Linked DNA regions of Callithrix jacchus. The protein of the gene in region 5 interacts with the protein of the main gene of each other region in a biochemical or structural test. Links are inferred from orthologs where the notes say so. Each region holds a gene or a part of one and is shown on either strand. Other genes may lie near its edges.

Region 1 (5,875 bases), on a different chromosome or scaffold from region 5:
GAACCTAGGCACAGAACCTGGGCACAGCTACTTCTGGAGAACAGGGCAGGGCACTGGGTGGGCACAGAACCTGGGCACAGCTACTTCTGGAGAACAGGGCAGGGCACTGGGTGGGCACAGAACCTGGGCACAGCTACTTCTGGAGAACAGGGCAGGGCACGGTGGGCACAGAACCTGGGCACAGCTACTTCTGGAGAACAGGGCAGGGCACTGGGTGGCAGAATACCCGCTTTTTACTTTATATCTTGGTGTGTTGTTTCTCTTTTCCCCATAAACAGGTATTCTTTTCACAATTAAAAACTCAAGTACATGCTAGTTTTTAATTAGGAAAATAATACCTGCTTATGGGAAAGATAGAAATAGTTATGCAAGAAAATAAAGTGAAAAGTATACACGGCTCAGTATACCTTTAAGAACAGTACCCACGGCTCATACCCGTGCTCGTTTTCCATTATTGGTGAGGTACCGAGTACAAATACCTGCTTACTCCACCAATAAGGTAACAATTCAAACTGGGTGACTTATGCATCCCACACCCTTGTTACAATGCAGATCAACAGAAATGAAGTTCTGAACGTCTACTTGTTTCAGGCTGAACTGATTCAAGTCCTTGAAAGCTTAGATCCTGGCTTCCTTTGGGCTCCTGCCGGGGCAGTGTGTGTGGCCGCCTGACCTCTGGCTGGCTGAAATGACGTGCAGCAGAGCCGTGGACACGCCTGGGCCAGGTCCACGGACAGGAGACCCCGCTCGGTTCTCCCAGCCACCCGTCCAGAAGACACCCTTGTTGACACCACAGCCACACGAGGACACACACGAGCAATTTCCTCTTGCCTGACGACAGCTCCTAAAAGGGACCCACAGACACCTTCAGGAAAGTTTCCACTTACTCAATCCCACACAACAGCGTCCTGAGCGCCCTCCAGAATGAAGCTCATTTTTCCAGGTGCAGGTGAGGGCCTGGGCACTGTGCCCACCGGCAGGACCTGTCACTGCAGGTTTTCTTCCTAAGACTTCCAGCGTTCTTTCCTTGTCTTTAAAAATCTTCACATTTTCCCAAACTCTAGACTTGAAAAGAAACATGAAATCTTCCAGTATCAAAAACATACAGGATGTTAAAATTTAAAACAGCCCAAAGAAACGGTAAAGCCATCAAGCACACGGAAAACACATCAGAGGATGAAGCGGCACATTCCGTGACGTAAGAAAAATAACCAGTTTAATAATCACAACAGTGTAGCATCAACATCGTAGTAGTCAACACTAGGACACTGTCTATGACATTTCCATTAGGAGTTTCGTCACACTTGGTGTCCCAGAGAGGTGAAGAAATGATTGGCATGAAGGAGTCCACAGGACCAGGGCAGGTGTTCAAGGTCCCAGATGCCCAGCGCATGTGGACAGGTACAGACGCCACCGAGTGTGATGAACGAGCTTCGGGTGCTGCACCCCAACATCGCTGAAAACTCAAAGTGCTTCAAATCTACAGGATAAGAAATGGCTTCATCTCCTCATCCACACACGGTGAGAGCAAAGGAGTAACCCTTGGGCAAATCGTGGCCCCTTTAAACATTTATAGCAAGTTCCCACCCCCTTGGGAGGTCACACGGTGAAACAGATACAGTTATATACAACAGGGCAGGTTTTTAAAAAGAGTTGCTCTCAGACGCATTTTTCCTGCTCCCTAAAAAGCTGAGGAAGATACTGGATCCACAGAAAGAAAAGGCAATGCAGTAACATGAGGCCGTCGTGGCCACACCGTCCAGGGGAAGGGCTGTTAAAAACACAAGTATTCTTGTGAAATACTTCAATCTGAGCATTAAGGCAGGTCTGCAGGAGATCAGACAGCAACGCTACCGGCTCCGAGAGGACATGAGTGTCACCTCCCGGCAGAGGGGCGGAGAGATCAGAGTTGTTCCTGAGTTAACACCTGCTACAACTGCAAACTTCAACACACTCAGGTTAAATGGTTTCCCACTGCAATGTCTTACGCATCACCAAAAAATAACTTGCAAAACTGAAGCTTACCAAAACAGGAAGTGTTGCTCTTTGCTTGTGCCAGCATGAGTGAGTAATATGCTAAGTTTAGGAAGCTGGCAATTCTGATGAAAAGTCCAAGTGAGGCCAGATTCTGCAGCATGGGCCAGGTCCATGCTGAGCCCAGACAGACCCTGTGGCCAGAGTCAGGGCAGGAAGCTGGAGGGACTGCTGGGCACCAGAGACTGTAATTGCCAAGGACAAGGAAGAACCGTCAACAGCAACAGAACGCCCTCCCAGGGTGTCTGGCTCAAAGGCATCAGAAAACCGAGGATTCAGGTGCAGTTAAAAAGGGCAATTTGGCCAACAGACTAAAAATCAGAAAATCTGATGCCAAGTGAGTTGTTCTGAGACCAATAATCCACGGTGCCGCAATTTTGGCTTTTAAAGATAGAATGCCTATTCTATGGGAAAATGTCTCACTTTAAAACCAACCTTTTCATGGGAGGGGAAACCAAAAGCGAAGTCCCTGTGATCACCATGATTTATTGCTGAAGCAGAACAAAAACCTGCCCCGGGCTGCACCGGCTTTGCAGAGCCAGCCTGGGCCCAGCAAGCCGCCGTGAGGACAGCATGTGCTTTGAAGAGCCAGTCTGGATCCAGCAAGCTATGGCGAGGACAGGCTTCCTTCCCCCGTCTCCTCTGCCCTGGGACACAGTGGGGGAAATGTTCCCTGTTTATGCCTGCATTACTTAGTGGAACCTAAGATGTATATTGCTTTATTCTTGCTGAAAGAGGGGAGTTTACTTTTGGTGAACACTGAACCCTGCTGGCTGCAGCCTACGGTGAAGCGGACCTCAGGGGGAGTCTGGCCTGACAGCAAAACTCCACCCATCAGTACCAGCCTGCAGCATGACCTCCATCTGCTTTCATCAGCTGCAGTGACTTACAATAAATAATACATTCTATTTACAAGTTCTAATAATATCTCTCTTTAAGGGAGGACAAAACTATTTTGTTATTACCGAACTAGCCTATACAGAAACATGTGTCATCTCCCAAAATGCAGCAAACTTATCTGAGAATCACAGTACTCAGCGGACAAGAGCAAACACCTCTAGGTGGATGCACTGGTGCTGCACGGGCCTTCCTCGAGCTCAAGACTGAGTCTGTCAGCCAGCAAGCTGCCCTCAGAACTCTGCAGGTCTGGGACTGTCACGCTGCTTTAAGACTTCTGAATGGGAATGACGTGTACCTTTGCAGGTATAAATAAGGTTATTTAGAAATACCGACACGGGAAGTACTGTCACAGCACGGAGGAGGCCATGATGGTGAAAGACAAACCAGACATCCACCAGGCTTTTGCTTCCGGTGGGTGTGGACGTGGGAATTCTCATTCATGTAGCTGGAAAGGACATTCTAGCACAGGGATTAGCCCTGACAGAACCACCACAGGTATGCATTCAAACTGGGATATTTACAAGTAACATGTATATATAATATTTATATATTCGATTAAAAGCCTGGACAACCAAGCCTTTCAGTCAAGTCACCGAACTTATTGCAGAATGAGGTAACTGAGATGTTCGCAGTGGGATTGACGCAGCTCAGGTCCTCAGAGTCAATCCCTCCCATCTGGATTCTTCCGTGATGGTTTGATGGTCTCCGTTCGCAGAATAAGCTCCAGCTTTTCTATGTGCAGAGAGCCAGGTGGCATCCCACAGCCCTGCCTGTGGTCCTGAGCGCACCCTCAGAACTGATCTTGGACAGAAAGAACTACGGACGCCCCTTACAGATTGGTCTCGTCCCAGGCAGGATCGTTCATGTTCTTCAGGACCCTCCTCACCAGCTTCTCTAAGTCTTTGCGGGCTCTCTGCTCTTCCTCCAGAGACTTCTTCATCTTCTTGTTGTCCTGAAAATTAAGCAGATCACAGTACGCTCACTATCTCTGCGACCGCGTAGGGCTTCCTTTCCCCAAATACGCATCCTCGAGGAGCTAAGGCCTCAATTCATGAAATCCTGCGTGAGCTGCCTGTGGACTGTGAGGTCATAGGGGTCCGTGAAGCTTAACCACCTGGACAGGGTGGCGGTGCTCCTGACTCTGCAGCTGCTCCCAGGATGAAAACGGTCCTAATGGCTCTTATGAAGTCCACAAATGAATCTCTATTGAACATACCGTAAGAAAATGGCTGGAAACTGCAGATGGGATAGCTCCTACTCAGCTTTTCTGTGCATTTATAACCACCTTCCAGAGTTATAGAAAGGACTAGAAGTAACAGCAACTGACAGGTGCTGGAGCAAGGGAGTGAGCACCTGCTCTGAGCAGCTGAACCCGGGCACATCTCAGGATGAGGAGGCACGCGCACTGGGATGTGTGCTGCTGCTAGGGGCAGAGCATGAACATGGGAGCCCACCCACCAGCCAGAGGTGTACCTGGACACCCAGCAGACACTGCGTAGAATGGCGGAGAACTGTGCAGTCCCACACAGCCACCTACTCTCAGCTCTTTATCCAGGCCATACTCCTAAGGCCGCTCCTCACCCAAAATATCCCAACCTTCCCCCGTCTGGCTAGAGAGGGGGCCAGTCACTCATATTTAATATTACGTGCCAATGTCCAGAACACGCCTAGTGAGTCACCACATCTGGCTTGCTGACTTGGCTTCGGAAGCCAAGGACCATCCAGTGTCAGAGGCTAATCTCAGGGGTACCCCACAGGATTTGTCACCAGACAGAACTTCCGATATTTTAAAATTAATCTTCCAACAGAATTTGCAATGGTTTATGACATCAAAATCAGTATTGTTAAAAAAAAAAAAAAAAAAAGACTTGAAACAAGTCACTTTACAGACAACCAATTGTTTTATCTGCTGGACTTCTGAGAGACAAGACCTCCTTTCAGTTTTTGCTTATAGACAATCAGCTTATTTTTATGTATATGTAATTTTTTGAGACAGAGTCATGCTCTGTCACCCAGGCTAGAGTGCAGTGGCATGATCTCAGCTCACTGCAACCTCCACCTCCTGGGTCCAAGTGACTCTCCAGCCTCAGCCTCCTGAGTAGCAGGGATTACAGGCAACTGCCACCATGCCCAGCTAATTTTTGTATTTTCAGTAGAGATGGGTTTTTGCCCACCTCAGCCTCCTGAAGTGCTGGGATTATAGGCGTGAGCCACCACACCTGGCCAGCTTCTTTTTAATAAAGTGTTTTTTCTTCCCATTTGGAAAAAAAAAAAAAAAAACTGAAAGATGGATTGTGACGTACCTGTCTTAACTCTTGCACTTCATCCTTTAATGCATATACAGTGTCCACAAGACTCCTGAAACAGGAAACAGAGCACACACATAAACAGGGTGAGGCCTGGAGAGGACACACGGAAACGTAGCAGGAGACACTACGAGGCTGAGTGGAGTACACGGGCTGCTCTGCCCTAGGCTGTGGACCGTCTACATTCACAACTAAACACCGCCAACCTCTGTGGATGGCAGGTTCAAGCCTAATCAAGGGAGCTTCAGTCTCTGATGAGATTTTAAAAGTGAATCTTCCATCCAGGTGCAGTGGCTCATGCCTGTAATTTCAGCATTTTGGGAGGCTGAGGCAGGCAGATCACCTGAAACTAGCAGTTTGAGACCAGCCTGGCCAACAGGGTGAAATCCCATCTCTGCTAAAAATACAAAAGTTAGCTGGGTGTGGTGGTGCAGACCTGTAATCCCAGTTACTCAGGAGGCTGAAGCAGGAGAATCACTTGAACTCTTGGGTTCAAGAGGCAGAGGTTGCAGTGAGCTAAGATCGCACCATTGCACTCCAGCCTGGGTGACTGGAGTGACTGTCTTAAAAAAAAAAAAAGTGAAGTTTCTGAAGTCACACCCCTACCCTCAGGGAGTTGTTCAGACTCTACTACC
Region 2 (6,072 bases), on a different chromosome or scaffold from region 5:
ACCAAATTAAGGTAAGTTTGGAACCCTTAAGCAGATTGCTTGGAAGACTAAGGATATTTTCAGTCCAACTTTGCATTTTCTGTTTTTAAATCAGCACGCCCCATGCTCTCTCTTCTCAGGGATTCAACATTGCTCTCCAGAGCTTGGCTGGTCGAGATAAACAGCCTAGCACTCTCAATCCTAAGAAGTCAGAAAACGCTGGAGTCTCTCAGACACCTATGTTTTGGGGGTAGATGTTCGAATTTGGAAAAGTGTCTGGGACGTGCTTAGTAATGACGCTGCAAGATTCAAAAGCAGCAAGTGTCTGACAGTCAGAAGTTATGCCTAGAAAATGAAATATATTTTTCTCCCATGGAAATTGGCCAATGCTCAGTCCATTAAATTTAAATAAAATGCAAATAAGCCTTTACTGTTCGCACTTGCCTTCTAATGATGGCTCCACCCATGTTAAGATGTGGTTTGAAGTATGTCCAGCCATTTCTGCTCAAAGTCTATCAGGATGATTCTCCAGGCTCTCCTTTTAAATTCATCAAAGGCTTCCTGGACCCAGGTGCAATGCCACACCATAGATAGAGGCAAAGACCCTGGGAGGTAGAGAAGGTGCTAGATGAGGTGTCAGCAGAAGCAAAACCAGCTCTGAAGTCTCCATAGACATCAAGGAAATGCAGAGCATCCTTCAGCCAAAATCATGCAGAAGAAGCGCTTCACCTGAAAAAGGATTGGAAACAAGCATAGGAAAAAAAATAAAAACGAAACAAATCATAAAGAGCAAACCGAGCATTTGTCTTCACATACACATCCTTCTCTTAACTTCAAGCAGGTCATATAACACACTAAGCACCCATACATTTTAAAGAGTATGGGGCAGGCTATTCTTACTCACTAAACATCCTTCTTTGCTTCTTCTTCGGTTATTATATTAGCTCAGTATTTTTTATGGCAACTCAATTATTTTTCCTCTCTCCCCTCATGGCCCACATGGCTCTTGTTTCTATCTTCCCCTTCACGAACACCAGGTCTTAATTCTCACTGTCACTCTCTTCATTCCACAAAAAATAATGCTGTGACTTTATAACTGCTTCCATCATTCATCTATGTCGAGGCAGTTTTTAAAATTTCCACTCGTAAAATGTTTCTGAATTAAGTGCCCTTCCACTCCTCCCTATCTTCTGACTCAGGATTAGGGGAGTCAGAAGAAAAAAAAAAGAAAAACAAAAACCAAACAGCATTCTTTTGTCCAGACGGCACCACTTGAATGAGCTTCAATCACCTCATCCATAAAGTACAAATAATAATGCAACTTCCCCGAGCCCATGTTTGTAAGGATTAAATGAGATAATGGATGTTGATAAAATATCACAGTGCCTTTTACCTAATGAATGGCAATGAAACACTGGCAGTTATGAATAACATGACAGTAACCTATGTTTTTATTGTCTATCTACACAGTCCCAAATGTTTGTGTCCTTAGGCCACTAAAGTAAGGGAAGATGGAATGTGAGGACATACAGGACATCTTGAGACTCACCAATGGCCTGTGTTAACTTGGCACTGCCTGACTCCCTGTAGCATGTCCCCATTGTTTTTCTGTCCCCCTTAATCCTGAACACCCCATACCACCCACAGACTAGGAACTAATGCCAGTTTCCACTTCCCTAATAATCATTTTCTCTCCTTGTGGTCGCCCCATGTTCACCTCAGTGGTTCCTCCTACACTCTGCTCAAGGGACTATCTCCTTAGTTTTTAAATTTCAGCTTGTGTGGACTTCATTCTTAGCCTATAATACACCCCCACCTTCACTTCAATAAATCCACATCCCCAACATCCCCCTCCTCTCTCCGTCTCTCTCTCTTTGCCCACTTTTATTTACAATCTTCCACTTCCTAATCACATGTCCCTTGCAGCTCTGATCTGCTCCCTCTGTCACCTGGTCCTTCTTCTTCCTTAGTTTGTTCTCCCAAGATCCAGGTAATTCATCTCCTCAGCCAAGTCCTGTAAAAGCCGCCATCCAAATCTCCTATCTCCTCTTGACTTTTCCATGTACTCTGTTCAACAAGACTTCCAAGAATGCAGGGAGTAACCCAGAGAACTGGAGAGAATGATGATAGCCAGAATTCAGGGCATCTACCAGCTTCTATTACTGGAAGCACTTGGAAAGCATAAGAGAAATGGCTTTTTGAAGCCATTAACAGGATTCAGCTCTTGACCACCTGCTGCTTCTTGCTGATCCTGTCAGCCTAGCAGCCTAAACACACTGAATTTCACGAAGTGACAAGCATAGAAGTGGCAAACAGAAGTCTTCCCAATCATATACCCCTTCCCAATCATACTCAATTTCCTAGGCAAGAAGGGCATTTTGATTGTGACACAAACCCCAGAAAATACACCACTGAGGGCATCTCACATGCTAGCTCCCTTCCTTGGCCTGACTGCTAACATCTCATACGCTGAAATGTTTACCCTCAAGGAGTCTCTAAATCTCTGCTTACAAAACCATCCTGGGGTGATATTCACTGTGGAGTGTCAGGCCAACATCCTTTCAAGACTTGCACAGACCAGATAGCTTGAGAGTTTGCTCAGTTTCTTCCCCAGCTCCCCCAAAATGATCATTTCAATGAAGCCCCAGTGTAGCCCAAGTTCCTGTATACCTGAGTACTACACATACCTGCCCTCCCACCCAACTGACTCCCAGAAGGTCATGAATTAGAGAGTCTTCTAATTCACCATCATCTCTTCGGGAGATCTAGAACTGCCCTCTTTCTGCTCTACACCAAATAATTTCACATTTATTTTATTTATTTGGGATTTATTTATTTATTTATTTGGGATTATTAGTTTTTGTTTATCTAACTCCCTCCTCCACCAGACAAATAGCAAATTGCCTTCTTTTTATTGTCTATTAGTTACTTCACTATCTCTGATTTAGAAAGAAAGAGGGAGAGAAAGAAGAGAAAAGAAAAATCATTCCTCCAGCAAACCAGACTGGTTTTAAAATCTCTCTTCTTTCTCAAGGTACTCCTGTTAAGAGAGTCTATTCAAGTCAATTCCCAGGAGCCTTTATGAGAGTGATCTTTGCAGAGGAATTTGTCTTCTTCTTTAACACCATTAAACTAACAGGATTTTGCAGACTACCTATTCCCTAATTCCGGCGCACCCCCCCCAAACAACAGCCAAACATCCCGCCCCTCCTCCTCTCACCGCCCCCCACCCCCAACAACAAGGCTGTCCGTCTCTCAGTGCCAATTCCTGCAACTGTGTCAGGGTGGTACCTGAACCTTATCTGAGAGACAGAGACAGAGAGAGAAACTGAGACAGAGAGAGAGAGAGGGAATCAGAAAAGCCAACACCGTGAGAAATATACACTTCAACGCACGCCATTTATGCAGCCCCTATGTATGTTGCTCAAATGCTCGGAAAATGCACGCGAATCCAAACATTGGGAAAGGCAGCAATTCAGACCCGTTCACCAGCTGTTCCCAAAGGAAGGGAACCGGTGAGGATCGGAGGAGGCGAAACGATGCTAAATCTTAACCCTCTCGTTGGGAAACGACATCTTTAATCGCGCCCTCGCCTCCAGACCTCAGTTCCCGCTCCAGCACATTAGCCAGGGCGCACTCACCGCATCCCCAGGGTTGGGAAAATAACAACTGTTGGCCCCCCGGAGCGCCGCGCAGCATCCGCACCTCCCTTCTCCCACCTCCTGGTTTATTTTTAACCGCCTTCCATTCATGCCCTTCTGTCACATTCCCGATATTATTTATCCCTCAGAGGTCCACTGTTTCTTAACAGCCAAAAGAAGAGGGCGGAGGAAGGGTTTTTTTGAAAAGGTATCATACTTACCGTTCCCCGGCGGGGCGAAAAATAAAAATAAAGAAAATCCACCGGCTGGCTTGTTTTTCCCCCTCAAGCTGCAACAGCTGGAGGAGGGGAAGAATGATCTTGGAGTGTTAAAGGGAATCACTCGGGTTTGGCAGGTGGAGGCTCCAAATATCCACGGAACAAGTTCTGTTGCCTGGCCCGGCGGGGGGCACAGAGTCCTCGCGGCTGGAGCCTGGGGGTGGGGGTCGGGGCTGCCCCAGAGAAGACCCCAAGACTCCTGGTTCCTCTGGAGTTCAGTACAGGAGGGATTGCCTGGGAAAGGAAGTCAAGGTTCCCCCGAAAAGAAGCAAAATCCTAGACAGCAGTGATCACTTGTTAAGCCCGAATTGCTCCTCCAACATCCATCCCTCTCTCGCTCTCGCTGGCTGCGGGAGCAGCACACGCCTCCCCTGGCCGCGAACGCGCGCCGGGCGGGGGCGGGGCCAGGGCCGAGCCGAGGGTGTGGCGTTCGCGACGGTCGCCAGGGGCGCCTCCAGGAGCGGCGGGGAGGGCGCAGTCACGACGCCGCGACTCCCCGCACTCTGGCCGGGCCCCCAGACTCCCAGGATCCGGGATCGATTCCAGGAGTCTTTGGCTGCGGTCCCCAGAGGAGAGGAGCAAATCCTGGAGAAGTGTCCCTTTTGGGGCCGGAATGGGGGTTTCGACGGCAGCGCGGGAGTCCCCAGAGGGCCTGGGAGCGGGGAGCTCCCCGGGAGGTGCAGTCCTGAAAATGGGGTCCTTTGGGACATCTTCTCCACTCCCTAACTTGCTTTCTCCAGATCTCCCCTCGAGCCTCGTCCTCTTCTCCACACCCCACCCCCTCCCAAAGCGGGTTTGTCGGGTTGGGAGCCCGGGGCACCTCCGGCGAGGTTGCAGGCGGGGAGCCCTCCTGTGCCTGCCAGCGCGCCCAGATCCCCCAGTCTCCGCCTTCCCTGCACACAGGAGTTGAGTGGCTTCAGGGTCGGGGTTGGGCCTCCGGGGTGCGGAGGAGACCGACTTTCAACCTGTATTCCACCCCGGGTAGGGGAATGTTACGAAATTGGAATCAGGCCCAGGCTAGGGGCTGTGCAAGGGAAGCAGCAGTCCTACGGGAAGAGGGTTGGAGAGATGAATGAGTTCCAGGGTGGGCCCGGGGCTGGGGGCTTTGGAAAGCGGGGAAGAGCCCGCAGATAACCTGTTGCTGCAAAAAGAAATACGGCTCTGGTACCGACCGAGGGCTCTTTGGATCCCTCAGGATAGAAATCAAGGAGATCTTAGCAGAAAGCAAGTTTCTTTGGTTTTCTTTCTTTTAATTAAATCTTGCGCGCACAAGGGAGCTAACACCAAGAAAAAAAAGTGGGCTGCTCCTCGAAGTCAGGGTATGGGTTTCTTTTACGGGCCTCTCCCATAAGGGGACATAGGGGAACTATGGACAGAGCATATAGAGGTGGAGATTTTCTGGTGCACTTCTTCATAGAACCTATGTATCATTCGCATTTTAAATCTCCACCTCTGAGCGTGAATTTTTGCATTAAAATAAGGAAAAGGTCACTGAGTTGAAAGTTAAACCTAGCTGCAAGCCGGGACCTCGGGCAAGTCCTTGGTCCCCTAAAGCAGGAACGTCTGGTTAAAAACTTCTTGGGCCTTTCATGCGGACTGGCTGAAGTTTCTATCTGAGGAAGGGTTTCTCCTTGTTTCTTGCTTATTTCTTTGGACCACATTAAAACGGTAAAGTAGACAGCTCGCCTGTCTGAGGCCTGCCAGAATCAAGCAGGCTAGAGGTTTGGCTCCGGGAAGTCTCTGTCTTATGCTTATTATTATTATTTTGTCTTTTTGTTCTTTTCCTTTTTTGTGGAGAATGGGGTTTAAGCGTGCTCCACAGGGCCCAGCAGCCCGAGGATCTCTATCTTAGTGATCTTTCCCACTGCCCATTTCTATTAAAAAAAAAAAAAAAAAAAAAAGGTTCTACAGTTCATCCCCACCCCACTTCCACACACGCGAGCGTGCGTGAGTGAACACATGGACACACACACGCGCGCGCGCGCACACAAAACCAGAAGTTCAAGTGGCGACAGGGTCTCTGTAGAACCTCTCCCAGCGCGCCCGATGAAGCATGCAGGCAGTGGCGGCGCGTGCCCGGACTGTTGGAGCAAATCCGACCTTGGGCGGGTTGGTTGGCGCCGGGACGGTCACTGTCGTCCTCGGGGAAGCAGCTTTGTTCAAGGGCCCTATTG
Region 3 (5,639 bases), on a different chromosome or scaffold from region 5:
AATTCTACCTAAAAAGTATATTTTTCCAAGGATTCCTAACTGGTAAAGTCTAAGTGTTTGAAGCAGAAAATTCAATTCAAATAGATACTACTATAATAAAGAGGTAAAATGCTCCCTGAAAATAAACATTAGGATACTAACACATTATTTCCAACATGCTGTCTGAATAAAACATTTATGTTCAGAAAGGCACCTGAATAGCTGAATAAACTGCATATAAAATAAAATCATGTATACGATTTCCTCAACTGTAATTCCCAGGAGGAAAAACAAGTTCAAAAGATTTTCATCAGTTTAACATTTACACTGCTGAACATTTTTGAGCAATTCAAGATAACACCGACACATATCCAAACCGAATTTTAAAATTAGCAAAAGAAAGAGGCTGGGCATGGTGGGTCACGCCTGTAATCCCAGGACTTTGAGAGGTGAAGGCAGGCAGATCACCTGAGGTCAGGAGTTTGAGACCAGCCTGACCAACATGGAGAAACCCCGTCTCTACTAAAAATATAAAAAATTAGCTGGGCATGGTGGCACATGCCTGTAATCCCAGCTTGCTCAGTATGCTGAGGCAGGAGAATCACTTGAACCCAGGAGGCAGAGGTTGTGGTGAGCCAAGATTGCACCACTGTACTCCAGCCAGGGCAACAAGAATAAAACTATCTCAAAGAAAAAAGGGGGGGAGGGGGCGACCAGAGGGTTAAGGGTATCCTTCAATAACCTTTTACAGTATCTATTCAATAAGCTAACCACAAACTTTAAGTATCAAACTTTTCATTTAAGTGTCAGTACCCCCAAATTCTTAAAACAAAAATTCTAAGAATAAACTATCTTCTTATGCTCAAACAATAAAGAACATAAGTGTACATATTATGCATATTTTAAAAGTTAAAGCTAATAAAATTAAACAGAGCTAAGCTTTGTGAGTTTAACCAATATCTCAAAGATCTAATCAGAAAGAAATGCTGAACCTTAAAATGCGTATCCTATTTTTTTCCATTATCATTATGATAAATAATAAAGCTATTAGCATTTTTGAGAAAATGTTAAAATTTCCTTAAAGTGGTTTTGCTGTTGCTTGGAACTGGATAAAGCCCCACTGTCTAGAAAAGCAAATGGGTATAATCTACTCCTATTTCTACTTTACAAAATATTCCAATCTAAATAATTAAAGGAATAAAAAAGCAAGGAAAAATGAGCCCAAACATTTTCACAAGTGAAAGCCACTAAACATTCTGGTGAATATCCTTCCAAATAATTACTGGGTATGTGTGTTACAATACTGCATGCTTGTACCTAAGTTTCTTAGTATTGCTGGCTGAACAGTAATTCCCACACTAATGACTTAAAATGCCTCCCCTTCCCGACAGCAACATTCACAAAACTCCACTCCCAGCCAAGTTTACAAAAGTAAAACCAAATTTTTCTACCCAGCAATTGCCCTGTTTCACAGTCTCATGTTTTCCCTCATCCTAGTATATCATACTATATCTCACCCTCTCCCTCTCTTAACTTTAGTAAGTTTGTATTTCTTAAAAACCTAAAAAGTAGCCTTAAATCCTCTTCTGGAATAAAACAGTAATCAAGGAAATATACATTAAAATAATCAAAAACCACTTCGCATCTGTAAAACCAGCTATTAAAAAAAAATACTACTTTTCTTAGTTATTATCTTCCTTTTCTTTTTTTCTTCCTTTTCTTATATATTAAAAACTATCGGCCGGGCACAGTGGCTCAAGCCTGTAATCCCAGCACTTTGGGAGGCCGAGGCGGGTGGATCACGAGGTCAAGAGATCGAGACCATTCTGGTCAACATGGTGAAACCCTGTCTCTACTAAAAATATTTTAAAAAATTAGCTGGGCATGGTGGCGAGTGCCTGTAATCCCAGCTACTCAGGAGGCTGAGGCAGGAGAATTGCCTGAACCCAGGAGGCGGAGGTTGCGGTGAGCCGAGATCGCGCCATTGCACTCCAGCCTGGGTAACAAGAGCAAAACTCCGTCTCAAAAAAAAAAAAAAAAAAAACTATCTTCAATGAGTAAGTATTATTTCCATGATGAATACAAGAAATAATTATTTAAGTAGTAAAACTGTATTTTAAATTTTTTGTAAATGCTCTTAAGTTCCTTACATATTTTTAGTGTATAAAATAAGCGTGGAACAGAGGAACATTACAAAAGGAAGAAAGAAATCAAGACACTATAGTTTAATCCTCAAGCTAACATCACGTCATTTCTGCTAGGGAGAAAAATCAAACAAAAAGGGAAACATACAAGAAAACTTAACAAAATATTAGTTGTTCTCCTAAAAAAAATTAAAAATGAAAAAGCCAGATATCATATGGTGGAGTATTACTGGATCACATAATATATCAGAACAAAATTTGAGAACCATGTAGCTGAATTCATTTTTCATCTGGAATTACTGAGATATAGACAGAACATAATTAAAACAAAGGTTTTCTGATGTTCAGTATAACATGGAAGTTTTGCTATGTCTATAAAACTAAGTATATTTCTTATAAAAATGTTACATTTCTGTTAAATATTACCAAGTTAGCTAAGAAAAAATGTTCACTGGGTGGATTTTCAGTCACATGTGCTTCGGGGGCACTTTTTTCCTACACCATTTGTTTTGCTTACATTCTGCATCTCGCTTAGCTTCAACAACTAAGACAAACTTACTAAGATCTTTTCTTTTCTGCTTCTCACAGTACTTTGATTAAAGTCACTGCAAAAGAAAATGAAATATAAAGTAAAACTCTTCTCCAAACAAAACTGTTTAATTTACTAGGCTTAGACATTTCACAAGATACTCGCCCAACAAACCAGATTTTTCTACTAAAAACTAAGAAGCATTTTTTAAAAAGTGAAACCACAATTTACTAATACTTGAATGCTTATAAACAAAATTTCTATCTATCCAAGTTTTAGGAGATTCAGAAGGCAAAAATACCTGGAATATAATTACTCTGTGGCTCAATTCCTGCCGGGAAGTTAGTGTTTTCTGGAATGGAGTGAGTATAGTCATCCAGAGGCGGAAGTTCTGTTAGGATCTCAGTATGTCGGGGCACTAATACTGGAGGCAAAACTGAAAAAGTTCAAGAAATCAAAGTTAACGGCAAAGAGCAAAGGAGAGTGGGGGGACCTTTTTTAGTTTGCAACAAGACGACGACAAAGCAGTTGTAGCTTAATTTTTAAAGTTAGGAACCACCTATTTGACTATATATTTAACTAGTTTATTTAACTAGGTATCTATCAGTTATTGAAAAAATGACAAATCTGACTATGGCTTTAACTTACATAGGCTACTATTCAAATTTCCAAGTTCTAATTTATCTCAAACTTTTGGGAACAATGTGATCCTGGTAACATTATATTACCATAAAAGTTCATATATCCCCACTGGAAAAGTTAACATTGTCTTTATCTGTAAAATCAGATATAGAAAACTTTCACAGCTATTGCTATATTTTTTAATAGTTTCAGGTAGACAACTAACTAAATGAAAGTCTTGTCACAAGCTTTACTAAACAGCTTATATACAAACAATGTCATTAAAGTACTTCTAAAAGCACTCCAAGTGCAAAATGCTTAAAAATAAGTTACTGCAGCAGAGACATGTAGAAGCACATCAGTGTAGCTCTAAGCAGACTGCCAATCTACAGTATTTTCTGGATACATACTTCGATGCCAAATCATATGCTATTCCAAGAAACAGACATATCTTTCCCTGATATGTTTTCCCATTAAAAATTTAAAAAAATAAAAAACATTTTAAATTACCACCAAATAATATGCACAATTTAAGGTAATTTATTAGATTTTTACACTAAAATTTTCCTGGATCACAACAGTACCTAAATATACTTAAGTTCAGGCATTTAATACAAAACCAGGAAAAAAACTTGCAATGTTCCCACCTGGTGTCTCAACTCTCTGATAGTGGTAAGGGTTTACACATACTTCATCCTTTTTAAGATTAAAAGCATATTCGCAGTTTTCAATTGCCTTGAGTTCATGATGACTGTGAAGATCAGGCCAGCGCCATAATCGGCAATATATAACATGTGGCAATCCTTTTCGATGGGATACCTGGAGACGACCATCAAGAGACCTATTGGGAAGCAAGGGAAAAAGAAAGGAGGAAACTTTAGAAAAAAAACTGTTGTCAAATGGAATAATAAATTAGTACATTAAGAGCATAAAGAAAAGAATGACAGCCATTTAGTTAGTTTTAGTGAGAATCAAGAAGAAAAATGTACTATTTAATGGATCTGATAAAAGTATGCAGCAGCACTAGCAAATGTTTCTGATAAATATGTCACATAAATGACTCAAATGCCAATGAAAGGCTAACTACATGGGAAAATTAATTTTTAAAAAAGTATTATGCAGTTATACTGGAAAAACTTTGTCAACTTCTATGTTTAGTCAATCAAACTCATTTTAGAGATGCTTCTAAGGGTATTAATTCTGGAGGTGACTGAACAGTCAAAAAAGGAACTAGTGTGAAGAATGATAAATACCAACAATGATGTGATAGTAACTTCCTCAGACTACTGCAACTCATTACCCAGTTGTGACTGCTTTGAGAACTGAGGTATATTTATATAGTTCACAAATAAATGTGGATGGTAATGAATATGATGAGATGAAATGAACAAATACCATATACGCAAAAAAGAGAATGAAATGATTTTAAAAAGTAACATAAAAATGAGTTAACCTACTGTTAATTGTGATATAAGGGGTTCATTAAATATGTATTTATTAGTAAAAAGATGAGATTTTGATAACAAATTTAGTAAAACTGATCATGTATCTACTTAAAAATTAGCCCAACAACAGATTATAATCTGATCTCAAGCTAAAATAAATAGTTATCAAACTTCTTATTCTTTAGGGGATACAATAAAGAAGATTCAAACTAGAACTGCATTGATTAAAACATCAGCTGAAACATTTAATATATTTTTTATACTGGCAAGCAGATATTTTAAATGCTATGCCTTATTTTACATTAAGGAAACATCCTAGGCAAAATTACACTAAGCAACCCCATATAGGTCTTCCAAAATATAACCCCCCACCCACAAGATCTCTAGGATTCGACAGAGGGCAGAATATTCACCTGGTTTGTTCAGAGAAGCTGTAAAGGCCTGTTGTATCCCACTGATCTATCGTATTTGGTGTACTCAGTCCCCAAATTTCAGAGCAAGTGCTGTGCATAAATTGAAAAACAAAAAATTGATGTGAACATGGAAGCATGGTTATTCAAAATACCATGATGTAAAACATGGAGAATGTACAGAATACTTCCTTCACCCAGAAAATATACAATTGCTTCACTTTTTCACAGGCATTTAGTGCTAGTTACTATATTTTCTATATGAAGGAAGCCAATAAAATGGAACATGTGACTCCAGATAAGTCATGATTATGTTTTTAAAATGTGAACACCAATGCCCTCTAGTTCAATGAATCACACCTATAATGCCCTTTCCAATTTCCTCTATTCAAAAGATCTAAAACCTGTGCCATGAGCTTTACTAACAGTGCTTCATTTTATAATCCAGTTTTTATAAAAAATTATCTAAAAACAGATGTCAACTGATTTTTAATATAGAAAAAAATCTCAA
Region 4 (5,639 bases), on a different chromosome or scaffold from region 5:
CTCCTTTCCAGAATATACCTTGGACTCTGCCATCAGTTCTGACCACTCCTAACTCATGCTAGACATGGAACTTGCCTTCGATGCTCTATTAGGGCCTTTGGAATAATATTCTAATGACTTTAGATGAAACAGGGGTGCTTTTAGTGTATGGATTTCTTCTTCAGTGGCAGCTTCCTGGCACTACCTCGGAGCCCCAAGCCAGGTTTATTCCTGCAAGGGGATTAATCATGTCACTAAGCACCATTGTAACAACCATCCTTCCTGGAACTCAGTGCTTAAAATAGTGAATCTTTACTGCAGAAAGGGGCTGAAGGAGAGGGTTGGTAGATGTTTCTAGAGCACAAGATTGCTCTGTTAAATGCTTTATCTCTCTTTCTCTCTCTCTTGACTGTCAGGGAAGAAACACATACCCCCAGACCCAAAGTATTTTCCAGCTCCTTCTAGCAGTTGAAGGATAGGAAAAGGAAATTCCCTTTCTTTCCTGCCTGACAAAGGTAGAGAGATACAGGGTGGGACCTGGGGTTAAGTCTTTGGGGAGAGGGAAGAAGCTGGTGTGAGGGACCTCCTGGAATAAGAGAAAGCAGGGAAAGAGACACATATAAATCCATTGTGCTTTTAAAAGAAGAGTTAAAGACCTAAAATTACAGAATTATTTCTGTTTAACCCTGGTTTTCCGATGTAACGACTTGATTTCTAAAGACTGCTATGATGTGGGTGACGAAGTAAAAACAAATCTCTAGCAGCATCTCAAGAGAGCAGTTCTTGCTGGCTCCCAGCACCACTCCACTTTCACCCCTGTAGGGCTCAGCCCCTTGTGTAGGATGCCCTTCCTGAGTAGTCCCTGCTGTCAGACTCACAAACGAGAAGACGGAGATGGGATGTGAACACAGCCACCAAAAGAGAAACACACATCAGATCAGGAGGAAGAAAACAGACTATGGCAAGAACAGAGAAGGAGGTGGGGAGAGAGGTACAGAGTAAGGGCTCTCTCCAAGCACCTCTGAGAAGACTGGTGGAGAAGGAATCCAGACCAGAAGAGGACACCGATGAGGAAGCTAGCAAGAGGAGGGTGCAGGGACTGCCCACCCTACCTCCCTCCACTATGAGGACCCTGAAGTCTTCCAACCCAGAAACTGATGACTGTTAGTGTTTAAATCAGGCTGAGGCCAATGAAGCAGAGCTCAGCTCCCTCTGAAGAGCAAATTAATCCTACGCATTCCCCAAGAGAAACCGTGACATGAGGTTCTGTGAGCCAACAGCAGAGGGTGCTGTTGTCTCATCTTAGATTGGGATCAGGACCTTGAGACCACCCCAAAAAAATCTCTGCACCTTCCTCAGGGTGAGGTATCTGAGCAGCAGATAACAGATTTATGGAGAGGAAAAGGGAGAAGGCAGATGGCCTGGAAAGGTCTGGTTTGAGCATGGGCAGGTAGAGATGATAAATGAGTGGTTGGAGAGGTTACCTTTGTTGCGATTTTCAGGGACTCCTTGTTTTTTACCTGTTTGAACAAGAAAGAAAAAAGTGGGGTCGAAACCCAAAGTGACTATTAAGAGATCTAATTTGTTGGTCCTGCTCAGAGCCCAGAAGGGCGACAGCAAAGGTGTTGGGTTGCAGGGAAGGGACATAAATGTAAAGGAAGCTCACATCTCTGCTTTCATTCATTCTTGCTAGAGGCTCTCATGAATCCTCGTGATATCCACCAAAACGCTCATGTAGGTGAGTGCATACTCACACCTGAGCTGCTTTCTCTTGCTCCTGGCCTGAGTCACATTGCTTGGGAAAATGGGGTGGGGATTAGGAAGTGAGAGGTTTGAACTGTTTCTTCCTGACGGCAAAGACTCTGAAATGTGTCTCCGTGTTACTTCAACAGCACCAGGCAAGCTTCCTCCTGATTCATCTGCAGGTAGCTGCAGAAATGAATTGCTTAGTTCCTGAAAGAATGTGTTTTGTTTCCTTTTCATAAACTGCCCTCCACTAAACAGCTCAAGATGACCCTCCAGCCAAGTGGTAGCAACCTTTTCTCCCCTAAGGGAAGAAGGAATGGTTAGGGAAATGTGTAGACTTGGTTTTAGTATCTTTTCCTCTTTCTGCCTCTGTTATTCTTTCCTTCAGGAACAACTGAGTGGCAAAGCCCGAGCTAACTGTTCCTGACTTTTCTAGCTGTGTCTGTCTTCCACTGAGAGCCCACAGTTTCACAGAAATCTATTTTATTCTTCTGGCCAGTTTTCTCTTAGCCTCAATGGTTCATTTCACCCCCCAACTTTGAGGAAGAAAGTTGGGGAAGGAAGAGGGGTACACGGAAGGCATCTGGGCTACAGCACCTAGCCAGTTCATTTCACGTAGCTTTATAACTCATCCTTTTACAAGCTACAGTTAGACACAAAAATCAAGGCTCAAATTCAGCCTGACTTGGGAGCCTAGAGCCAAGATCTAGTTTTCATCAGAGCTCCCTGGAGCCAAGGATTCACATCTTTATCTCGGCAGGCAGTCTGGATATCCGCGTTCTTCATCGCGGCAGACTCTTTCAACTAGGCTTTCTATCCAGATCGGCTCCCTCGCTTCCTTGTTTGTCCGCAGGAATGAGAGGAAAAAGAATCTCATTCCAGATGCCCCTTACCTTTCTTCTTCTTCTCCCCTTCGTCATCCTCATTGACCCCCAAGAGAGTAAGGATGATTCCAGTCTGAGAGTTGATACCCACAGCAGTCACCACCATCCTGCCAGAACCTTCCATGACATGGGTGCCTACATGGGAAAGGAGAGGGTTTTTAAATACCTAGACATGATTTGGTATGAAACACAGACTAAGAAGAAAAAAATCATCCTCCTTACCCCATGGATAATGCTGTGCTTAGCACAGTAGGAAAAGGTCAAGGGCTGGGCGCATTTAAAACAGATCAGGCAAATTGTGAGTAAGGAGGAAACCGTATCTAACTGCTTTAGGTAGGCTCTCCCACCCGCTCCCACTCCCACCCCTGCAACGAGCAGAGCCCCTCCAAGGCCCTTATAACACTTGTTTCCTGGAAAACTTCATTTAGGCTGACTGATATCCTTGTATTTCATCCACCAAAATGCTGTTGCCCCAGCTAAACCCCAGGGAAGGAAATGGGACATAGCCAGAAGAGAGACGGGGTCTGGATCCTGTGGTCTGGCTGTTTGCAGGGAGGTAAATGTGAACTTGGGTAGCTGGGGCCTATACCTGAGAGCAACATGGGGTCTTTTTCCAGGTACTTCTTGACATGGTCGGATTCCCCTGTCAGAGAGCTCTCGTCAATCTTCAGATCATTCCCTTGGATCAAGACCCCATCTGCAGGCAGCAGATCACCTAGAGCACAAAGAGGACGTGGGGACAGTGAAGGAGGTAGTAAGAGGAGAGGGACCTGGCTGAGGACAGGGACCTCCAACTCCTTCGACCCCATCTCAGGGCTGCTCCCATGGGCCCTACCTAGAGAGCAATGGCCGAGAGTACATGGAGGGTCTTTATAAGACTTCAGCTCTGTTCACCCTGGGAGAAGACTGCTTTCCAGGCATTATAAATTCAAACTATTATTCATCCCCAACACCTTTCCATGGCCTGAATATCATACACTTTAACCTTAAGACACACAGGGTACAAGCCTGACAATCTTGTGGGAGAGTTTCAGCTAATCCTTTCCGAAATTCCTTCTCCCAACCTCCTTAAACTCTAACTTAGAAGTGAATACAATTTGGGATCTTATCTTCTGAGGTTTTCAGCAATTCCCAGCCCTCTCGTGCCAAAGGATCTACCCCTTAAATAGGGGTGGTGGGGGGCGAGGGGTGAGTACAAGAAATACAGAGCTCTCACCGTATTTGACTTGGGCAATATCACCCACCACAATCTCAGCCACAGGAAGCTGGATGAGTTGACCATTTCGAATGATGGAGAACTTTTGCTCCTGTTCAATGCGGTTCTGCAGCCCTCGGAATTGCTTCTCTTTGCTCCAATCATTAAAGGCAGTCACTAACACCACGATGATCACGGAGAAAAGTATGGCTGCCCCCTCAATCCAGCCGGCTTGTGCCTCGTTTTCATCTTCTGGGGCAGTTGCGGCTTGACCACACACTATCCCAGGAAGGGAGAGAAATAGTCACTGAAGGGCTTTTGTTGACATTGAGGAATAGGAGTAGTGCTTCCACAATCCCCCCGAGATGGCAAGTCAGAAAAAGAGAATAATAGCAAATACAACTGTTGGCTAGAAGAGGATATCAGAGGATAGCAGGATTGAGTACTGTCTTATCACCAGTGTAACTACTCACGTTAATCCAAAAATGCACGTGACTAAATAGTACAAACTATCAAATTTAGGCAAGCCACATGTAAGGTCACACTTATGATTCCCAACATGGTCAGGCTTTCACTGCTACTTCCCAAAAAGCCAGACAATTGGTGGTGGGGGGGCACTTTAAGATGCAGGGTTTTGTTGGTTGGATTAAGGGTAGAGAATTCCTGGTTGGAAGAATAGCTGAGTAGCTACTAGTTGGTTTCCTTTGGAAAGCCCACTCTGGATAACAGGGGGAATGTTTTAAGCTATAACCTGTCAGTCACCAATACTAAGTGCTTTTTGGTGGTGGAAAGGATTACAGGCTCACACCTGTAATCCCGGAACTCTGGGAGGCTGAGGCGGAAAGATTGCTTGATCCCAGGAGTTTGAGACCAACAGGGGCAACATAGTGAGATCTTGTCTCTATGTCACAAAAATTATTAAATAGGCTGGTTTGGGGACATAATAATAAAATTATTTTATTATTAATAAATTATTAAGTGGCTCACACCTGTAACTCCAGCACTTTGGGAGGCCGAGGCAGGTGGATCACCTGAGGTTAGGACACCAGTCTGGCCAACATGGTGAGGCCCTGTCTCTACTAAAAATATAAAAATTAGCCAGACGTGATGGCACCTGTAATCACAGCTACTCAGGAGGCTGAGACATGAAAATTGCTTGAACTCAGGAGGTTGCAGTAAGTCCAGATCAAGCTGCTGCGCTCAGCCTGGGTGACAGAACAAGAATCCATTTAAAAATAATGAATTAATGAATGAACAAATAAATAAATAAATAAATAAATAAATAAATAAAATTTCTTAAAAGGGTAGAAGATTCCTGACATTCTGAAAAAGGATTTAATGGGAGAAAGTGGGTGGGGGGTGGGGTGGGGAGGAACCCTTGGAATAAGGATGAGTTGGAAGAATAGCTTAGTAGCTGCTGGTTGGTTTCCTTTGGAAAGGCCACTCTGGATAATAGGGGAATGTTTTAAGCTATAACCTGTCAGCCACATAACCTGTTTTAAGTGCTTTTTGCTGGTGGTGGAAAGAACCCAGAATCAGAGTCACACTGAGCTGTTTAGGACACTCACGTTCATTTTCTTCGCCAGCTGGGCGATAAAAAGACAGGACCAGGGAGATGATGGCTGCAATCTCCAGGATGATGAGTGTGACATCTTGAAGGGCTTCCCACACTAATTCTAAGAAGGTCTTGGGCTTTTTGGGAGGGATCACGTTGTGTCCAAACACCTGCCTACGTTTCTCCAGATCTGCAGGGTTCCCTGATAGACCTGAAAAAGAGATAGGAGTGGATGAATACATGCAGAAAAAATGGAAAATGATAAAAGGCAGTTTTGAAG
Region 5 (6,312 bases):
TCGTAGAGGAAAAAACAAGAGTGAAAAGCAAAAACGCTGAACTTATTTCCTTACAAAACTCAAAAGCAAATATTACAGAGCATAATTCATGTATACATATTCTATGGCAGTATAGTGTACATTCAAAAACTGAATAATCAATCCACTGTAAACAGCTAAACATAGATAAAATATATGCTGTCAGAAAAGAAAAAAGAGCGCAGTGGCTCATGCCTGCAATCTCAGCACTTTGGGAGGCCAAGGCAGGCCAATCACCTGAGGTCAGGAGTTCAAGACCAGCCTGGCCAACAAGGCTAAATCAATCTGTCTCTACTAAATATTTACAAAAATTAGCCAGGCGCAGTGGCATGCACCTGTAATCCCAACTGTTTGGGAGGCTGAGGCAGGAGAATCGCTGGAACCTGGGAGGTGGAGGTTGTGGTGAGTCAAGATCGTGGCCACTGCACTCCAGCCTGGGCAACAGAGCAAGACTCCATCTCAAAAAAAAAAAAAAAAAAAAAAGGAAAAGAAAAGACAAAGACATCTTTACAGGTTTAGAATAGAAATGTATTCCCGGAAAAAGAAAACTCAAGCAAGCAAGTAACAGATTAGAGAAATGAATGAGAAAGGCAAAGAGTCAAAATGCAAGCAGCCAAGTAAGGTATGTAAAGAGAATCTGGATAAGCAGCAATTACAGAAAAAAAAAGCTGTTACTCAACATCACTAAAATTCTGCATAATCCAAAATACTTTGTAAATACCGCCATAATCTATTTCCAAAACAAAAGCAACTTAAAGTCTAAATCATATTATCTATAAGCAGTTATTTCAAATAAGTAATTTTGAAATATACACCTATTTTCTACTAATAGTTCAACACCAATGTCTAAAATCATCTATTTTAGAGATTTACCAATATGTTAAATTGTATCTATAGCTATCACTTCATTAAGAAATAGCATACAATAAAAATTTGTGTTCCATGTTTGTACCACTGTAAGCTTTTTATACATAAAGTTTACAATAGTTTGATCTCAAACAGCAAGGAGACTTCATACCTTAGTACTACTTGAATCAGCTGAAGTCCTGAAAATTCATAATTACCTTGAATAAATACAGCCTTTAAGCATCCATTTTGTGCAATATGCACTTTGGAAGTACTCTCTATTTCCCAATTTAATCTAAGAAAATCCAGACCATACTAAAAATATCCAAATTTTGAAGCCATTTTAAAATATTTTAACTGTGTTCTTTTAACCTCTTTTCAAACCTATCACGGTTTAAACAAGACTTCAAAAATATTTACAGTTTGACAATAGTATAAAAACTAAAATTTAAGCTAATTCAGTTATTAACAGAATTCCAAGTAAACTACGAAGTAATTTAGGCCTTACTGAGAAGAAAAAAAGAAACACAAAGGTAAACACCACACTTTATAAAATGTGTTGCCTGCACTGAAACATACTACTCTTCTCCTGGAAAAAAAAATCAAGAACTAAATCTAAAAATAGAGGTTCAAATAGTCATTTTCAAGTGCTGCAATACTTTTTTATTCAAAATTTGCTAATAAACAACCATCTTCATAAAGCGATAATTCTCTGTAAAGGACTTGCTCTGTTAAGGTTTTGCTGCTTTGAAGCCAAGTATAAGCCATATAAGGAAACTGAAGTTCAATGTCATTTATTTTGTTGAGCTCTTTCAGATGCCCAAGAATAACCTCTTTTGCAGCCTAATGATGTGTTCCAAAATCATACAGTAGATCAGTTATGCATTTTAAATTATTTGATAAAGCTAGTTTGACTTAACAGGAATTACTTGATGGTTCACAAATCTTACCAACAATGAAAAAAAAAAAAATCTCCTGAGACGATGCCCTGGAGGGGAGAAAAAGTTAAAAACTACAGTAATAAATAAAAGACTGCCTTTGGAAATGTACTTAATGAAGCTCAAGTAGCAAAGAACAAATTGTGAAATAATTTTATCCTGAACTTTAAAACCTAATTTTTCCTCTTTGAACTAAGAAATCAACTCTCTCCTCCAGTTTCCGGTCATTACGTGAAATAGCATAGGCAATCTAAACATCAGTATATATTTAGGATATACTTACCACCAGGATACCAAATTTATTTCATATATATTCAAAAGTACAGTATTGTATTTCACCTCCCTGTACCACAAAAGTACTGGGGGAAAAAACTAAACAGAAAAAGACTACACCACCACTGAAAAAAAGTGTGAGTTTACTGCTATCAAAACTAGTTCGATCTATGAAGACGACCCATTGGTTCAGAAGTGTTCATAGCTCTGACTGGTGGAATGTCTGCCATGCTTCATGAATTCTGCCCCCACAGATTTAGGCAGAACCTATCACTATTTAGGCAGAACCGACCAAAAACATTGGGGCCAACACAAAAATGTAAATACCATACTACTCAAAAAGTACAGCTTTTTATCACAATCACTGCGATTCCCTTGAAAATCGTTTTAAGCGTTTTACTTCCCAGTCTGCTCTGAACTGTACAGAAGTCCTAAGAAATCAAACGTCTTACAGGTTGTTGTTATTGTCGTTTAATTACACCTCTCTATGCTTAGTCCTCACTCCTTTTTTCCTAATGGATCAGTTACAAGAAAAGTCTAGTCGATACTTGCTTTCAATTAATTAAACAAGTTATACGGCGCTAACCTTCTGAAAAACACACGTTACTACACAACTAAAGAAATATATTATCCACTCTGTAAAACAACTAAGAATGGCAAGATTTTTTAGTAGTTGTTTCTAAAATCCAACGAAATATACTGATTAGGGTTGGGAAAAAAAATAAAAACTTCTATATTCGATTTACGCAAGTGCCAATATAATCGGTAGGAGTATAAACAAACGCGGCAGCCATCTCAATAACAGCAAATCACTCGCAGCAGCGACCAAACTTTCTTCCCAAACAGAAGGTGCCAGACTGAGCAACTTAACATACACTCTGTACGTTCGAGAAAGTCAAAACTTCTGGCCCCTGTACTGAACAAAGACACTCGTTTCTTCGGATTGCTGAAAACTTTTCGTCCCACTGCATTCTAACAACCTCTTCCAAAAAATCCAAAGTCCAGATGGGGGTGGGGGGAGGGGCTGCAGTTCGACCAATTGGCCCCTTAATTATTATCCGCTTCTATATGAGAAAAGGAGGATTTAGGACAACTGGAGAAAAGTGAAAAACAGTAAAGTTCATCTCTTTTTCCGAGTCACAAAGTCCCATGAACATTGTGACTCAGAGACGCTTTTCGTGAAAATTACCTTTCGGTGGGATAGCGTCTCAGGGCAGCTTTTTCAAGGCTTCGCTTGACATGATTTCCTTTCCTTCATTAGTCACTTTGGATCCAGCTGAATTTCTCTCTCGGGTGAGAGCGGATGTGGACTGGCCTCAAGCAGAAGAGTAGGTGGCTTTGGTGGGGGTTGGGGTGCGGGCTGGCTTCCTGGTCTCGAGTTTTGCAGGAGTTTCCCAGCCCCAACTAGGATCTCCGCCGAGAAAAAAAAACTTTACACTCGTGACACCGCCCGGAATTGCAGTGCGAAACTCACTTCCTGCCTTGGCGAAAAGCAGGATCCAGCTCCGTCCAGGGGAACCCGGAAAACCAGCTCCGCGCGCACCGGAGAGGGGGAGGGGAGGGGACAGCCGCCGGGAGCCTAGGGCTCCGGGCAACTGGCGCGCCCCGCACAACGGACAGCGGCGGCACCCGGCCGGCGGGGGCAAGGACACTGACCAGGCGCTCGACGAGCCTCGGTCGCGCTAGGCCGCCACCGCTCCTCTCCGCCGCCCCCAGAGCCGGGCGGCAGGGTTATTGTCTCGACAGTGCTTGCCGCGCCCTTCGTCCGCGCCGCCGCTGCCGCCGTCACTCGGAGCCTGAGCCGAAGAGCCTGGCAGGCTCAATGGCGGCCCCCTAGTCGGGCCGTCCGTCCTTCGTCCGTCCCTCCCTGCCTTCCCCACTAGTCTTCGAACCCTCTTCTCCTCCCTCTCCCGTTTTCCCGCCGCCGTCCCTCCGCTGCCCTCCTTGTTCTCCTTCCCCAGCGGTGGTGGCTCCAGGAGACAAGCAGGGGGCGGGAGCAGGGGGCAGCTTCGTCTCTTCACGAGCTCGCCGGGCCGCGGTAGGGGCCGAGGCTGCGTCCCGCGCCGCCGCGCCACATTCACTCGAGCGAGAGACTGCGAGGGGAGGGAGGTAGGAGGGAGTGGAGAGAAAGGAGGAGGAATGGGGCAGGGGCGGAGGGGAGTTACTGCCTCACAGGCCGCGGCGGCTACAGCGCCACCGCCCCGACCGTGAAGGGGGAAAGAGGCTGCGCGCCGCGACTCCGCGGCGGGGGCGGGGCGGGGCGCCCTCCCGCCGGCTTCGCCCTAACCGCCAACAGCCTGGCTGGAGGCTGGCGCGGGCCAGTCAGCGCGCGGGGGCGGTGCGGCCCGACGTCTGTGGCTGGGGGCGGCGGGCCGGGGGCCGGGGGCCGGGGGAGGGGCCGCCGGCGGCCGCGGGTTCGCGTGCGAGGCGCGGCGTGAGGCCCGCTCCGGCCCGGGTCCCCGGGCCTGCCCGCCTCTCCCCGCCGGCTCCTCGACCCCGCACTTCCCCTGCTCGCGAGCCCCCCAAGGTGGGAAACGCTGGCGACGCCGACCCTGCTGCCTGCTTGCGGCCCCACGCCCAGCCAGGGAGACAGATAGCCCCCAGGCCTCCCCCGCCCCGGCCGAGGGAGTTTCTTTGTACAACAGTAATCGGTGCACAAGGGTTGCTGGAGTCCAGCCCCTATTTGAAGGCAGCAGGTATCTCTTGCAGCTGCAGCGTTCCAACTTCCTCTAATGGCACGCTCAGGTCGCAGGAAACCACAGCGGCAGTGCCGCGCAGCTTCCCACGCCCGCCCTTGGAGCTTGTTCCCCAGCCGCGCAGCTCAGCCTCCAAGTCTCAGCCTCACACCGGCGGGGAGACAAAGCTGGCGCTGGGAGGGGGAAAATGGCCCGCGAAATGACCTCAAGATCATGCCTTTGTTAGAGGAAACATTGGGTACGCTCCGATGCAACGCAGGCTTCCAAACCCAGCAGTTCGGTGGTGGTGCAGTCGTTGAATTGCGCCGGCCCTAATATTTCAGCCTGGCAGGGTCTGCGTTTACTGCGGAGAGAGACTCTTAAGCATTCTGTCAACACATATGGCAAATAGAAAGCCTCAACCATAACATTGCACAGTTTTTGCAGTTCTTGCTTTAAATATGTTCACAGAAAAGACGGCCTTGTTTTACCCAGAGAAGGAGCGTAATGCGGAAGAATCATCCGCCACCCCCATTCTCTGCTGTACTTAACAGTGATGATAATTACTGAGTCCCTGAAGTCCCTGGTTCAGTTCTGTCTTCCAGAGATAATTATTTATTACCAAGTTTGAATAAAGAGGTATATCCCCTACAGACGATTTTTTGAATAAAGAGCTGTATACCTTACAGACTTTTTTTTTTTGTCTTGCAAAGGAAATTTCATAAATTCCACTAAGTAATTATTTACCAAAAGGAGTTGTACATTAGAGGCAAACACTTGAAATAACGCCGAAGATATTCAAGTTATTTTATTCAGGTTGGGAGCATTTTTAACTACTTGCAGAACTGCTAGAATTAATACAGGTATTATTTCTTTAGTACAGAGCAGAAGTTGAAGATTTACAGGTAGTACTGAAGTGTTCAGATATACTCAGTGCTGAATTAGAGGTAAGAGTATTAGCTAGAAGCTAGGAAATGGTAGGCAGCTATACCAGTAATACCAAGCTGGATATCTATTTTCTGTGAAAATGAATCTTAACCACTGCATACAAAGCTAAAGTACAAGCTATTTGTAATCATCGCTAGGAAGATTTCTTTCTCTGTTTTCAAAAACCGGCGTGGGTCTGATTAGAACTCAGTGGCACAGCTCTGAACTGAAAGGGTCATTGTCCTAAAGCATCCCAGGATGGACTAACTCCCATACCAGTGGAAAACCAGCTGGATTCTGTGATTCCAGAGTTGCCTCTAATCTCAGGTTGATTCAAGACCCCTTTAAATGTGATGCCATAGATTCGAGTAATCCTACCACCACCACCAACCTCCACCCCACCCCCCCCCGCGCCCCGCTCTAAACCTAAACAAGTGATTAGGCCACTGCTTTAGGCTGAGACCTGCCCTGGTCCTAGCCTTTTTAAAATTTAAACTCATACGCAGGACCAATCTGGCAGACTACCATCCAGGCTAGAAAAGTCCCTATAACCAAAAACCTTTTCTCCAACTCACCTGAAATTCTGCCATTAGAATTTTATCCCTTAAGTAGTTTTTTTTCTCTAGCACAAAACC

What was found.
Region 1: the proteins of ERBIN (region 5) and ARHGEF7 interact in a test that uses a peptide from one of them, tested with the Homo sapiens proteins (2 studies listed by BioGRID and IntAct). The link is inferred for Callithrix jacchus from reciprocal best matches to the Homo sapiens genes ERBIN and ARHGEF7.
Region 2: the proteins of ERBIN (region 5) and KCNA4 interact in a test that uses a peptide from one of them, tested with the Homo sapiens proteins (3 studies listed by BioGRID and IntAct, with this or other methods). The link is inferred for Callithrix jacchus from reciprocal best matches to the Homo sapiens genes ERBIN and KCNA4.
Region 3: the proteins of ERBIN (region 5) and SMAD2 form a complex in vitro, tested with the Homo sapiens proteins (2 studies listed by BioGRID). The link is inferred for Callithrix jacchus from reciprocal best matches to the Homo sapiens genes ERBIN and SMAD2.
Region 4: the proteins of ERBIN (region 5) and ATP2B4 interact in a test that uses a peptide from one of them, tested with the Homo sapiens proteins (2 studies listed by BioGRID and IntAct). The link is inferred for Callithrix jacchus from reciprocal best matches to the Homo sapiens genes ERBIN and ATP2B4.

The regions. Positions count from the first base shown.
Region 1 is NC_133502.1:26,850,730-26,856,604, reverse strand, and holds the end of ARHGEF7 (rho guanine nucleotide exchange factor 7), read right to left. Parts: intron 5,293-5,875; coding exon 5,238-5,292; intron 3,887-5,237; coding exon 3,764-3,886; 3' UTR 1,195-3,763; downstream 1-1,194. UniProt on the Homo sapiens protein: Acts as a RAC1 guanine nucleotide exchange factor (GEF) and can induce membrane ruffling. Functions in cell migration, attachment and cell spreading. Promotes targeting of RAC1 to focal adhesions. May function as a positive regulator of apoptosis.
Region 2 is NC_133511.1:95,333,115-95,339,186, forward strand, and holds the start of KCNA4 (potassium voltage-gated channel subfamily A member 4), read right to left. Parts: upstream 4,250-6,072; 5' UTR 3,842-4,249; intron 3,719-3,841; exon of another isoform or gene 3,621-3,718; intron 709-3,620; 5' UTR 1-708. UniProt on the Homo sapiens protein: Voltage-gated potassium channel that mediates transmembrane potassium transport in excitable membranes. Forms tetrameric potassium-selective channels through which potassium ions pass in accordance with their electrochemical gradient.
Region 3 is NC_133514.1:90,963,910-90,969,548, forward strand, and holds part of SMAD2 (mothers against decapentaplegic homolog 2), read right to left. Parts: intron 5,222-5,639; coding exon 5,132-5,221; intron 4,115-5,131; coding exon 3,921-4,114; intron 3,089-3,920; coding exon 2,954-3,088; intron 1-2,953. UniProt on the Homo sapiens protein: Receptor-regulated SMAD (R-SMAD) that is an intracellular signal transducer and transcriptional modulator activated by TGF-beta (transforming growth factor) and activin type 1 receptor kinases.
Region 4 is NC_133520.1:30,767,956-30,773,594, reverse strand, and holds part of ATP2B4 (plasma membrane calcium-transporting ATPase 4), read right to left. Parts: intron 5,571-5,639; coding exon 5,373-5,570; intron 4,084-5,372; coding exon 3,826-4,083; intron 3,325-3,825; coding exon 3,199-3,324; intron 2,745-3,198; coding exon 2,619-2,744; intron 1,500-2,618; coding exon 1,464-1,499; intron 1-1,463. UniProt on the Homo sapiens protein: Calcium/calmodulin-regulated and magnesium-dependent enzyme that catalyzes the hydrolysis of ATP coupled with the transport of calcium out of the cell. By regulating sperm cell calcium homeostasis, may play a role in sperm motility.
Region 5 is NC_133503.1:143,566,238-143,572,549, forward strand, and holds the start of ERBIN (erbin), read right to left. Parts: upstream 4,173-6,312; 5' UTR 3,047-4,172; coding exon 2,951-3,046; intron 1-2,950. UniProt on the Homo sapiens protein: Acts as an adapter for the receptor ERBB2, in epithelia. By binding the unphosphorylated 'Tyr-1248' of receptor ERBB2, it may contribute to stabilize this unphosphorylated state.